Linked DNA regions of Sus scrofa. The main gene of each other region encodes a partner of the protein of the gene in region 2 in a complex. Links are inferred from orthologs where the notes say so. Each region holds a gene or a part of one and is shown on either strand. Other genes may lie near its edges.

The links.
Region 1: ACTR2 (region 2) and ARPC5 share a complex: the UniProt entries of both Homo sapiens proteins name them as parts of the arp2/3 complex. The link is inferred for Sus scrofa from reciprocal best matches to the Homo sapiens genes ACTR2 and ARPC5.
Region 3: the proteins of ACTR2 (region 2) and ARPC5L are in contact, whole or in part, in a cryo-EM structure (PDB 6YW6), measured with the Homo sapiens proteins. The link is inferred for Sus scrofa from reciprocal best matches to the Homo sapiens genes ACTR2 and ARPC5L. Residues at the interface, in NP_005713.1 of Homo sapiens: Tyr225, Glu263, Phe266, Gln267, Arg319, Lys322, Gln323, Ser338; in NP_112240.1 of Homo sapiens: Arg11, Arg12, Val13, Asp14, Ile15, Asp16, Glu20.

What each region holds. Positions count from the first base shown.
Region 1 is NC_010451.4:124,841,638-124,844,960, forward strand, and holds part of ARPC5 (actin-related protein 2/3 complex subunit 5), read right to left. Parts: intron 735-3,323; coding exon 558-734; intron 1-557. UniProt on the Homo sapiens protein: Component of the Arp2/3 complex, a multiprotein complex that mediates actin polymerization upon stimulation by nucleation-promoting factor (NPF).
Region 2 is NC_010445.4:76,711,991-76,715,641, reverse strand, and holds part of ACTR2 (actin-related protein 2), read left to right. Parts: intron 1-1,186; coding exon 1,187-1,402; intron 1,403-3,651. UniProt on the Homo sapiens protein: ATP-binding component of the Arp2/3 complex, a multiprotein complex that mediates actin polymerization upon stimulation by nucleation-promoting factor (NPF).
Region 3 is NC_010443.5:265,644,535-265,648,648, reverse strand, and holds the start of ARPC5L (actin-related protein 2/3 complex subunit 5-like protein), read right to left. Parts: upstream 2,850-4,114; coding exon 2,701-2,849; intron 1-2,700. UniProt on the Homo sapiens protein: May function as component of the Arp2/3 complex which is involved in regulation of actin polymerization and together with an activating nucleation-promoting factor (NPF) mediates the formation of branched actin networks.

The DNA.
Region 1 (3,323 bases), on a different chromosome or scaffold from region 2:
CCCCAGCTCCGGGTACCCTCCAATCTACTTTCGGTCTCTATGAATTTGCTTATTCTAGATATTTCATATAAGTAGAATCACACAGTACTTATCCTTTTGTGTCTCGTTTATTTCACTCTGCTGATTTTCAAGGTTCATTCATGCTACACTATGCACCAGAATGTCCTTTTTCAGGTTGAATAATATTCCATCATGTGTATGTATCACATTTTGTTTAACTGTTCATCTGTCCATGGGCGCTTTGGTCATTGTTAAGGAATTCTTGATTTTATTGCTTATTTTCTTCTCAATGTTTTGATGTAGTTCAAAGTTCAAGGTTTATCATTTAAGTAAAAGGTTGCGTTTAATAAACAATTATCACTGTTAACAAATCAACATCTCAAGGCCAGTAAGCATGAATCTCAATTTTCATTTTCATGGAATTTCTTCACAATAACAAAGAAGTATAACCCAAAAGTTAAAATAGTTATTTAGGTGAGGGAGGTTGTCAATCTTATTCTCTATTCCAAAGGAAACAGTCATTCAGAAGTCATACAGATCTACAACTCATAACTTACCTTTTCGTGCCACTGTAGTAACATGGCACTGCTATTGTCAGAGGGGCTCTCAAAGCCTTTATAAATATACTTCATTAGCAGATCCACGCCATTCTTGTCCAGGGACTGAACTGCTTTTTCAATATCGTTAGCTTTAAAAGAGATGAGCACCTTCAAGACAATGCTGCCTGCTCGATCCTGAGGGGAATAAATACCAGATCATTTAGACATGCGTGGGGGTAGTTTCAGAAAGGTCACATTGAGAATGTGACGTCTGAGCAAAGACATGAAGGACAAGAAAGGGGAAACCTTGGGTGTCTCTGAGGAAAGTATTTCAAGCACAGGAAGGAGGAACTGCTGTTAATGTGTGGTCAGTATATTCAAGGGTCAAGGAATAGCAAAAAGACCCAAGGTGGCTGCAGCGGAGGAAGAAGGGTAGACAGGACGTCAGAGCCGAGGTGGGAAGAGGACATAAGCCCTGCGGGCCCTTGGGAGGGCTCTGGCTTCCAGTCAGAGAAATGAGATGTTGGAAGATTCTCAAAAGAACAGTGATATAATCTTACATTGTAGCAAGACCATGTTGGCTGCCTTGTAGAGCGTAAGCCTGGGGCCGTGGGGGTTGGGGAGGGCAGGGAGAGCTTCAGATAAGGCAGAAGCAGAAGCAGGGAACCAGTTTGGAAGTTATTGCAAAAGACAGGCTGGTTTTGGCTAGCATGGTAGCAGCAGAGGTGGTCAGAAGTGGACAGATTATTATTATCATTTTTAATGGTATTTTATTTTATTAAAGCTTTTTTTTTCTTTTTTCTTTTTAGGGCCACACTCGCGGCATATGGAGGTTCCTGGGCCAGGGATCAAATCTGAGCTGCAACTGTGACCTACACCACAGCTGCTGCAACACCGGATGCTTAACCCACTGCACGGGGCTGGGGAGCTGAACCTGTGCTGCCACAGAGACAATGCAGGACCATTAACCCACTGCACCACAGCAGGAACTCCTATTTAAGTAAAAAAAAATTTTTTTTTTCTCTGACAGATTCTTGATATATTTGAAGGTAGAGGTGAAAGAAAAGAATTTGCTTACAGATAGACAGATGTGATAATTTACCAACGTATTAAATCAACACACTTTATTTCTTGATCTTTTTCTTTTTTTGCTCTTTAGGGCAGCACCCGAGCCACATGGAGGTTCCCAGGCTGGGGGTCGAATCGGAGCTATAGCTGCCAGCCTACACCACAGCTCACGGCAATGCCGGGTCCTTAACCCACTGAGCGAGGCCAGGGATTGAACCCACAACCTCATGGTTCCTAGTCAGATTGATTTCTGCTGTGCCACAATGGGAACTCCTATTTCTTGATCTTAAAAATAAAAACAAAAAAGGAAACTAAATTGCAATTCTATCTTGAACCATCCTTCAGAAATAAGTTATTAATAAGCAAAAATTTAAGTTTTTAAGAAAACATTTTAAGTTTTGGATTATGACCTTTTTTCTTTGATAAAAGGCAGTTCCAACAGCAAAGTCATTTTTTCACCCATCAAGCCCAGCACAGGGAACCTTAACTTCCCCTTTTTCACAATGTTTCTCCTATTCCACACAAAGTGCTATCTTCAATACTCCCACTGGTCAGGATTTTGCAGTATGTCTCTACCACCTGTTGTTATCGTCAGCTTAAAGACCATGTAATTACTCTATTTAGAAAAACATCCCTGCACCCAGAGCTATGACCTCCCACCCACAAGCTATGATTAAAAAAAAACACCCATATGAAAACAGAAGGTGGTAAAACTAAAATTTCAATGACTTTACATACTTTAAAAAACCCCAATTTTCCCCCGTATAAAAGATTATGTTGTCTAGATAATTATTACGCATTAACCTAAGTTATTACTTACGACTATTCAACTAAGGGGATTCTTGGGGCTTCTAGAATGTATGAATAGCTACCGACAGTGGTGTCAATGCTCTGGGCTTCATTTTATTTTATTTTATTTTATTTATTTATTTATTTTTGTCTTTTTGCCATTTCTTGGGCCGCTCCCACGGCATATGGAGGTTCCCAGGCTAGGGGTCTAATCGGAGCTGAAGCTGCTGGCCTACACCAGGGCCACAGCAATGCTGGATCCGAGCTGCGTCTGCAACCCACACCACAGCTCACGGCAACGCCGGATCGTCAACCCACTGAGCAAGGGCAGGGATTGAACCTGCAACCTCATGGTTCCTAGTCGGATTCGTTAACCACTGCGCCACGACGGGAACTCCCTGGGCTTCATTTTAAACAATAAATAAGTAAATAGGGTCTTAAGAATTACTGAAAGACTGCTACAGGGAATGTTTATACAGCTTTTCTGAAGGGCAATTTGGCAATATCATATATACCAAAGCTTTAAAAAATGTGCAGTCTAAAATCCAGTAATTCACATCTAGAAATTTATTCAAAAAAAAGTTAAGAATTTACGCAAACTGTTGATTTCAGTACTGTTTACAAGAGAAAGGTCAATAATCTAAACATATGACAAAAGGAGATGAGTTATATATAAACTACACTATTATCTATACTCAGCCATTAAAAAGGATATTGTAGAAATAAACTTATTGCCAAGGAAAGAGGTTCATGCACATTGCTGTATGGCTGAAAAAGCAGGTTATAAAATTCCATTTTCATAAAAAAAACATGCATAGGAAAACTCTTTAAGCATAGAGCAACACCAAAAAGTAATAATTATCTATGGGTAGTGGGATTATATATGATTACCTTTTTATTCCTCCCATTTCTGAGTATTCTATAATA
Region 2 (3,651 bases):
TCTTAGTGAACATTTCTAGCATCTGCTTTAACTTTGTTTTTGCTTTTCGCTGTTGCCTTCAGTGGTGATTTTCCAGAGATCTGGTTTTGGGGTTTTTTGTTTTGTTTTTTTAGAGTCCTGGTTTAGCTCTTATCTTTTTTTTTTGAGTTGTTATTTTTTAAAGTTTTCAAGTCATATATATTAAACCTCTGTTTTAAAACATCTTAAAGTCTCGCAGCAAATAGTAGCTATTTCTGATACAAGGATTTTTTTCTCTAAGTTGGATTCATCCATATATGTAGAAATCAGGATTGTTTAATATTTTGAATAACTGATTTCTAAAATAAGTTTAAATTCTGAGTCCTCATTAGCTTTACTATACATACAAAATACGACTTTTCAAATGTGGGTCATCTTAAGTACGCTCTCATTGGAGACAAGACTTGTGAGTATTCTGCTTTATGTGTGATAGCATAGCTTCGCAGTATTTAAGATTGAAAGTGTTGCTGAGATAATTTCAAAGAACAGCTGTTTCTCTGTGTCTTAATTTTTTGTATCTATACAAATTGTCATTCATCTTTGTGAGGCATGTATAGAAACTTAATTTCAGTTCTAATTTAGACATATATAGATAGGAGTTTGTGAAATTTACAAGTTATGTGGTACATATATCCATTATTGTAGTGTAATAAAAATCATTTTATTTTTTGCTTCTCATTGTGCTTTATAGTACCTACACTTATCATTTTGATATTTAGTACAAAGAAATGTGCTGCATGCATTGAGCATTTTTCTACAAGTTTTTTTTTTTTCCCTGATGTGCTATCTCACATATCACAGGCCTTATTTTTTGAACATTTGAGCAAAAGAAACAGCTGAAACCTCATACAAAACCCTCCAAAATATGAAAATGTGGGGTTTATTTGTGCTAATGCTCTTCTTTTGGAAACATGTGTGTTAAAGGTAAGGTCAATTTATTGCTTTAAACCACCTTGTACATAAAATGTACTTTTCATAATTAAGCTTTGCAAAGCATTGTTCATGAAAGAAAAGATCTCTTTAACTTGTGGAATGAAGAACTTTATCTGAAAGTGCCAGAAAGATTAAAATTAATTATTCCCAAGCCTTCCGAAATATCATGGGAGGATAATTTTCTGAAGGCATTTTATACAAAAATTTGGTCTAAAGCTTTGATATGGTTTTCTAGGACCTTATGGTTGGTGATGAGGCAAGTGAATTACGCTCAATGTTAGAAGTTAATTACCCTATGGAAAATGGCATAGTACGAAATTGGGATGACATGAAACACCTGTGGGACTATACATTTGGACCAGAGAAACTTAACATAGATACCAGGAATTGTAAAATCTTACTCACAGAACCTCCTATGAACCCAACCAAAAACAGAGAGAAGATTGTAGAGGTAAGTTTTTAGATGAGTTGTGCATATATGTGTTTCTGTGGTGTGATGGTAAAGCCAATTGTTTTTTTCTTTCATCTTACCATTGTTGTTGAGAATGGAAAGGATAAAAATAATTGTTATTTCCTCCCAGATGCTATTTACTGAGCACTTAACTATATGCTAGTCATTATTTACAAGTAGAATATATCAGTAAACAAAACAAAATCCTGCTGCCATGGAGCTTACCTTCTAGCAAGGGAAAACAGACCACACACACACACACACAGAGTTAATTGAATGGTTTGTTAGAAGATAATAGATGCAAAAGCGTTTTAAAAAAATGTAGGTTAAGGGGCAGATAGGGAATGTGGGGAGGTTGTGTTTTTCATAGGATGTGATGGTACAAGTCTGTGAGAAGGTGATGTTTAAGTAAAGACAGAGTAAGGGAGTTAGCCAGAGCACTCCAGGCAAAGGGAATACCTGGTGTAAAGGTCTTGAAATGGGAACAAGCCTGGCATATTAGAGAGTCAGCAAGGAAGCCAGTGTGGGAGAGCAACAGGAGATGAGGTGGAAGGAATAATGGGTCAGATGACCTGGGGCTTGTGGCCTCTTACAGAGGAATGGAGGGCTCTTACAGGGAAGGGACACATTCAGATTTAGGTTCCTGTTGACTGCTGTGTTGAGTGTAGAACATAAGGAAGTGAGAGTAGAAGAGAGACCAGTTTGGAGACTTTTTCAATTATCTAGGCAAAAGATAATGATGGTTAGGATTAGGGGTAATAGCACAGAAGGTAGTGGGAAGTGGCCAGATTGTGGCTGTATTTTGAAGGTAGGACCAAAAAATATTCTGATTCCTTAGGTATGGGTAACAGAGGGATAACTCCAAAGGTTTCAGCTTGAGCAGCTAGAGGATGGGGAAAGATTGTAGAACAGAATTTGGAAGGCAGATGGGTCAGGTAGTCAGTTTTGGGCATGTTAGGTCTTCATTAGTCATCCTAGCAAAAGTGTCAAGTGGATGGTTACCTGTCATGTTCAGGAGTAAAGTCTGAAACAAGATAAAAATTTGAGAGTCATGAGGATATAGATAATATGGTTCCCCAAATAAGTGTTGTTAGCTATATAATATATATCATTCCTTATGATTTATATATTTTTTCCTAGCAACTCCTTAAACTATGAAAGATGGGCTTTATTGTATTAGTTTATATTTTAATTGAATTTTAGAACTTTCTAAGTGATTTACAATCACTAATACTTTGTGATGGATAAGTAATCATTGTAATTGCTATTTATTTTTAGTAGCACATTACAGAATCAGATGGCAGAGATTTTTTTTCATTAAACTAAAAAATTACTACACAAGGAAACCTCTTTAGGAAGGTAACACAGTACCAGGATGAAAATCAACTTCTCTTTCAAGCAAAAGTTTAGGCAGATGACATTATGCCTGAGTGCCTTTTCCACTAACTAGCATTTGACTAGGACACATACTGTTTTAATCTGCGAAAATGACAGGACTTCGTCTTTCCTCACTCTAAGGTCTCATATTTGTTTAATACTCCTTTTACTTGTGAGTGCAAACTTGGCTATGATTCATAATGCCCTACTTTAATCTCATCCAGAGAGTCATTTTAGAACTACAAATACTTTCGAATGGTTTTATAAAAACAAATTCTAACAGGCTGTCAAGTTAATAAATGCAAATACAGTTGAACCCTGAACAGCAAAGCATTTAGAGGTGCCAACCCCTCTCAGTGAAGATTTACATATAACTTTATAGTTGGCCCTCTGTATTCAAAGTTCTCCATCCCTGGATTCACCCAACCTCAGATCACATGGTGGTGTAGTATTTATTTATTGAAAAAAAATCTGCAATTAGATGTACCTGTGCAGGTCAAACCTGAGTTGTTCAGGGGTCAGCTGGATAGCATCACTCTTCCTTTTTCATCCCTGTGGAGGGGAAATAAGGATGATGGAATAGAATAGTAGTTAGAACATCTAGTTGCTGGAGTTCCTGCCGTGGTGCAGCGGTAACGAACCTGAGCACGTGGGTTCGATCCCTGGCCTCACTTAGTGGGTTAAGGATCCACTATTGCCATGAGCTGTGGTATAGGTCACAGTCACAGCTTGGATCCTGAGTTGCTGTGGCTGTGGTGTAGGCCGGCAGCTACTGCTCTGATTCAGTCCCTAGCCTGGGAACTTCCACATGCCGTGGGTTTGGCCCTGAAACAAACAAACAAACAAACAAAATCTGCTTGCTTAATTGCTGA
Region 3 (4,114 bases), on a different chromosome or scaffold from region 2:
TGGGGAGCGAGGAGGGGCCTACCATTTATCAAGCCGGCCTCCAGACTCAGCACCTAGTCACCTGTAGATCAGGGTTTCTCAACCACAGCACTGCTGACATTTTAGACCAGATGACTGATGTAGGGTCTACCCTGTGCATCATACAATTTACCAGCATCCCTGGCCTCTCTGCACTGGATCCCAGTAGCACCCCCCAAGTTGTAACGATCAAAATATGTCCAAAAATAGACAAATTTCTTTAGGGGGAGGAGAGTGCAAAATCACTCAAAACCACTGCTCTTGCCAGATTCCCGCTCCAAGGGACCAAAAGGTACCTCAGCAAGCAAGAAAAGGATCTAGTGCTTAAAAATCCCTACAAGGGCTCAGAGCCTGTGCCCAGGTGTTTTCACATGTAATCTCATCCCTGCTAACAGTTCTTTGTGACAAGAGTGATTATTCTGATTTTAAAGGCAATGAATCTGAGGCTCAAAGAAGGAAAATGACCTGCCCAGGGTCACAAAGCTAAGCTGTCCAGGTGGCCTTCAAACCCAAGTATGCCTGATTCCAAAGCCAAGCTCTTTCTACAACCTCTGGCTGCCACGCCACGCACAGACCCTAGGTGCACATCCAGGACACTTGCTGTGTGTCCAGCCCTGTGCTGAAGCCTTCTGGCATGTTGTCCGGTGATGCCGCTGTTGAACCTGTAAGCCAAGCTTGGTTCTCCTCCCTTTCACAGAGGTAGATGCCGAGGGTCACAGAGCGAATGAGATCTGCTCAAAGTCACAGAGCCAGAGCATGACTGAGCTGGGTGTGTGCGGATGTGCAGCCCATGCTCCATTTCATCTGTGTGATCTCCCATCACCACAGGCCTCCCTCTACGCACTAGGACAGGCTTACTCCCCACACCCCCGTCCCCCATCAACGCCTATCCCTACTCCCCTTGCTCTGTCCTAAGACTCCTAGAAACCTGTTCTATAGTTTATTAATCTAATGTAAATCCAATACCTGGCACACGGTAAGGACTCAGCAAATATTAGTTCCTTCCTCCTCCCTTCCCGGCCCTACATTTGCCAGGATTTCCGTTCTCATCTGCTAACCTCCCTTTCCCCAATCCCAAGAAGTACATCCTCCGTGGTAACCAGGTTTCTGACACTGCCATTAGTGAAGAAACTACCATCCCCTGCCTCCAAGCAGCCTCAAGGAACCTATCACATCAGAAGCATAACCAAGACATGACCTTTGATAAGTCCCTACAGCACCAGGACGAAGACAGCAGATAAACAGGCCTTGTTCTCCCCTTCTGTGGATGGTCTGAGCCACAGGCCTGACTCTGGAGCCCTTTCGGCAATGCCTGCCCACAGGCCAGGTTCTGCACCAGACTGCAGAATCAAGGTTCCCTCATGGGTACCTTCTCATAACTCCATTTCACCAATGGGGTAAGAAAGGTGATCCTGATGGGGCAGGAAATCCAAGTTTGAATCCCCATCTTTGAAAACACATTTGTTCAAACAAAAAATGTCTGAAGGTTTTTGTTTCAAGGCCCACTGGAGGAACACTGCAGGACTCCTCCCAAAGGCAGTCAAATGGGTTCGACTTGCCAAGCTGAGTCAAATGATTAAACACCCAGAACCTGATTTATATACAGTACAGCCTGAGCCTCCAACCTTGCCCTGGCAAGTGCGGGGGAGGGGTGGGCACTTCCTGTAACACTATTTGAATAAAGAAAAATCCTTCCTGTGAGAATAAGTCAGTTTCCTGTGCTCAAACTGCTAAGCGACCAAGCAGGCTGTGACAACCACCTCTATTTTTAATCTTGTTTTCTAAATGCTTGTTTTCTGTGACCACAGAAGACTCATTTCCAGTCGTGGGGCTCTACTTTTACATCTCACTTTACGTTGCCTGGTTTTTCTTAGCTCTAAACTACTAGTTTTTTCCACTGCTTTCTGAACAAGAAGGCTATTGGGGGGAAGGAGCCAAGACTCACTTGTTGAAAGTGGCTAAGACCATGGAGGTCCAAAGCCCAACGGTTGTAGGAAAGTACGAAGAGGTGAGAAAGAGGGGCATCAAGCTGGAACGTTCAGAACGATTCTGGGATGGGAGATGGAATCGCAGACCTCAGGGCCGGACTAAGGCTAAGGCTGCAGCCTTCGCTCCCACGTGGGTCCTTTCTTCCCCGAAGCCACCCACCCACCTATTTTCATGTGGTGCTGCAATCCAGCCCGAGAGGACTGTGTCTGGGAGCCGCCCTGGCCTCTCAATTACTCAGCGGTAGCTCACCTTGGCCCCTCCCGCCGATCAAGCCCGAGAATGGCCCTGTTTCCTGCCTGGGAGAGATGGAGTGACAGGGCACCCAAGGAAGGGCCAGCCTGAGAGGGATGAGGAGGCAAGGGGGAGGAAAGAGGAGAGGCCTCGCAGAGGAGGGGCCAGCCGAGCCAGACGCCAGTCCGGCATGCTGCTGGGGCCGCCGAGCAAGCCGGCCCACCAGGATACAGGGGCTCCAGGGGTCCGGGCCGGGGACAAGGGAAGTAGAGAGGCCGGGTGAGAGAAGTGGGGATGCCTGGTCCGAGGGGAGCTGGATCGGTAGGGAGCTGAGAGACTGACCTGAGGGAACCACGGATGAGAGAACTGGGGAGGTCGGCCTGAAGGGCCGGAGCCGGGGATGAGGGGAGTGGGAAGGCCAGGCCAAAGGGGAGCCCAGGCCGCCGCGCTGGGGAAGGATATTGCCGCAGGAGCCCGTCCACTTCGCTAGGGTCCGGGCCTGGCTCGGCCGCCGCCGCCGCCGCCTCCTCCTGCTCGTCCACGAATTTGTTCTCATCAAATTCATCGATGTCCACTCGACGGAAGCGCGAGGACAATGTGTTCCGGGCCATGGCGGGGGCTCGGCGCCCGCTCAGCCAGCTCCTCTCCGGGGCAGACCTCCACTCCACTCCGCTCGGAACCGGCTCCGGCTCGGGGGCGGGAAGCGGCGACCCGGCACCTCCTCCACCTCCTCCGCGCGCAGCCGCAGCTGCCCGCCCACTTCCGGGCCACGCCGGAACCGGAAGTGCCGGTAGGAGGGATGGGCGGGGTGTGGCGGGAAGCGCCGAGAAGCTGTTCTGGAAGACGGCCTTGTGACTCTCTCCGGGACTCCTATCTTCGTGTAGCCTAAGTCTTCCTGACTGGGAAACAGGCGCCCAATCCCGCGAAGGCTCAGCACCTGGGCGGCGCCATAACTGCACTCTTCTTCGGCTTCGTTCCTGCACCGGAGGAGCCCCTGGCTCTGGAAGGGGCGAGGGCGTGCATGGTCGGGGACTCTGGGTGTCATCACTGTCCAGATTGAGGGGGCATGGGTCACCGGGAGAAGAGACCCAGCGCTGCCTGCCGAGTGCTGGATAGGTTTCTTGGAGAAGAAACCTATCCAGCTGAGGCCTGAAGGATGAGTAGTAGTTCTTGTGCCCAGGGAGTGACGTAGGGTTAGGAGAACGTATGGTCTCAGATTTTAGGAGTTTCGGACGCTACCTTACTGAGCTTAGAGGAGGTTGCTTTTGCCTTACTGTTGTAGTGACTCTTGTTAATGTACTGGGAGATTTTAAAGACGTTTAAAGTGTGTCCAGGGTGCTGACAAGACAGTGAAGGCATTTGGACCTCAGTATTCTGAGCCCTGCGCGTGAAGCAGTCACCTTGACCGAGGGGGAGGTGGGCAGGGATAGGGAGATGGCCCAGTGGCCACCCTTCTTGCGGAGGGCGAGGTCTTGGGGCCTGAGAAGTCTTGTCTGGCTGGAGCAGTAAGGGTCTCCCCAGTCTGAGATGGGGAAGGTTGAGCAGAGCACAAATACGGCAGAGTCAAGTGCTACTCTGTGGTGCGTGGGCTGTTGCTTGAGGGGTTCTGTTAATGAGCCTTAGCCTTAGACTACATTGGGTCTTCGTTTTCATATGATAGTACTCTTTTTTAATGAAGACCTGTAGTTAGTGAAATGACCCGTTTCATTGCTTCAAATACTTCTCATGAACTGTCTCTACAGATCAAAAAATTTTGCCAGACTAGGATGCTATCTAGGGTGTTAAAGACAGACTCCAACAGGAGTTCCCTGGTAGCTCAATGGGTTAAGGATCCAGCAGTCTTACTCCTGTGGCAAGGCTTCTATCCCTGGCCTGG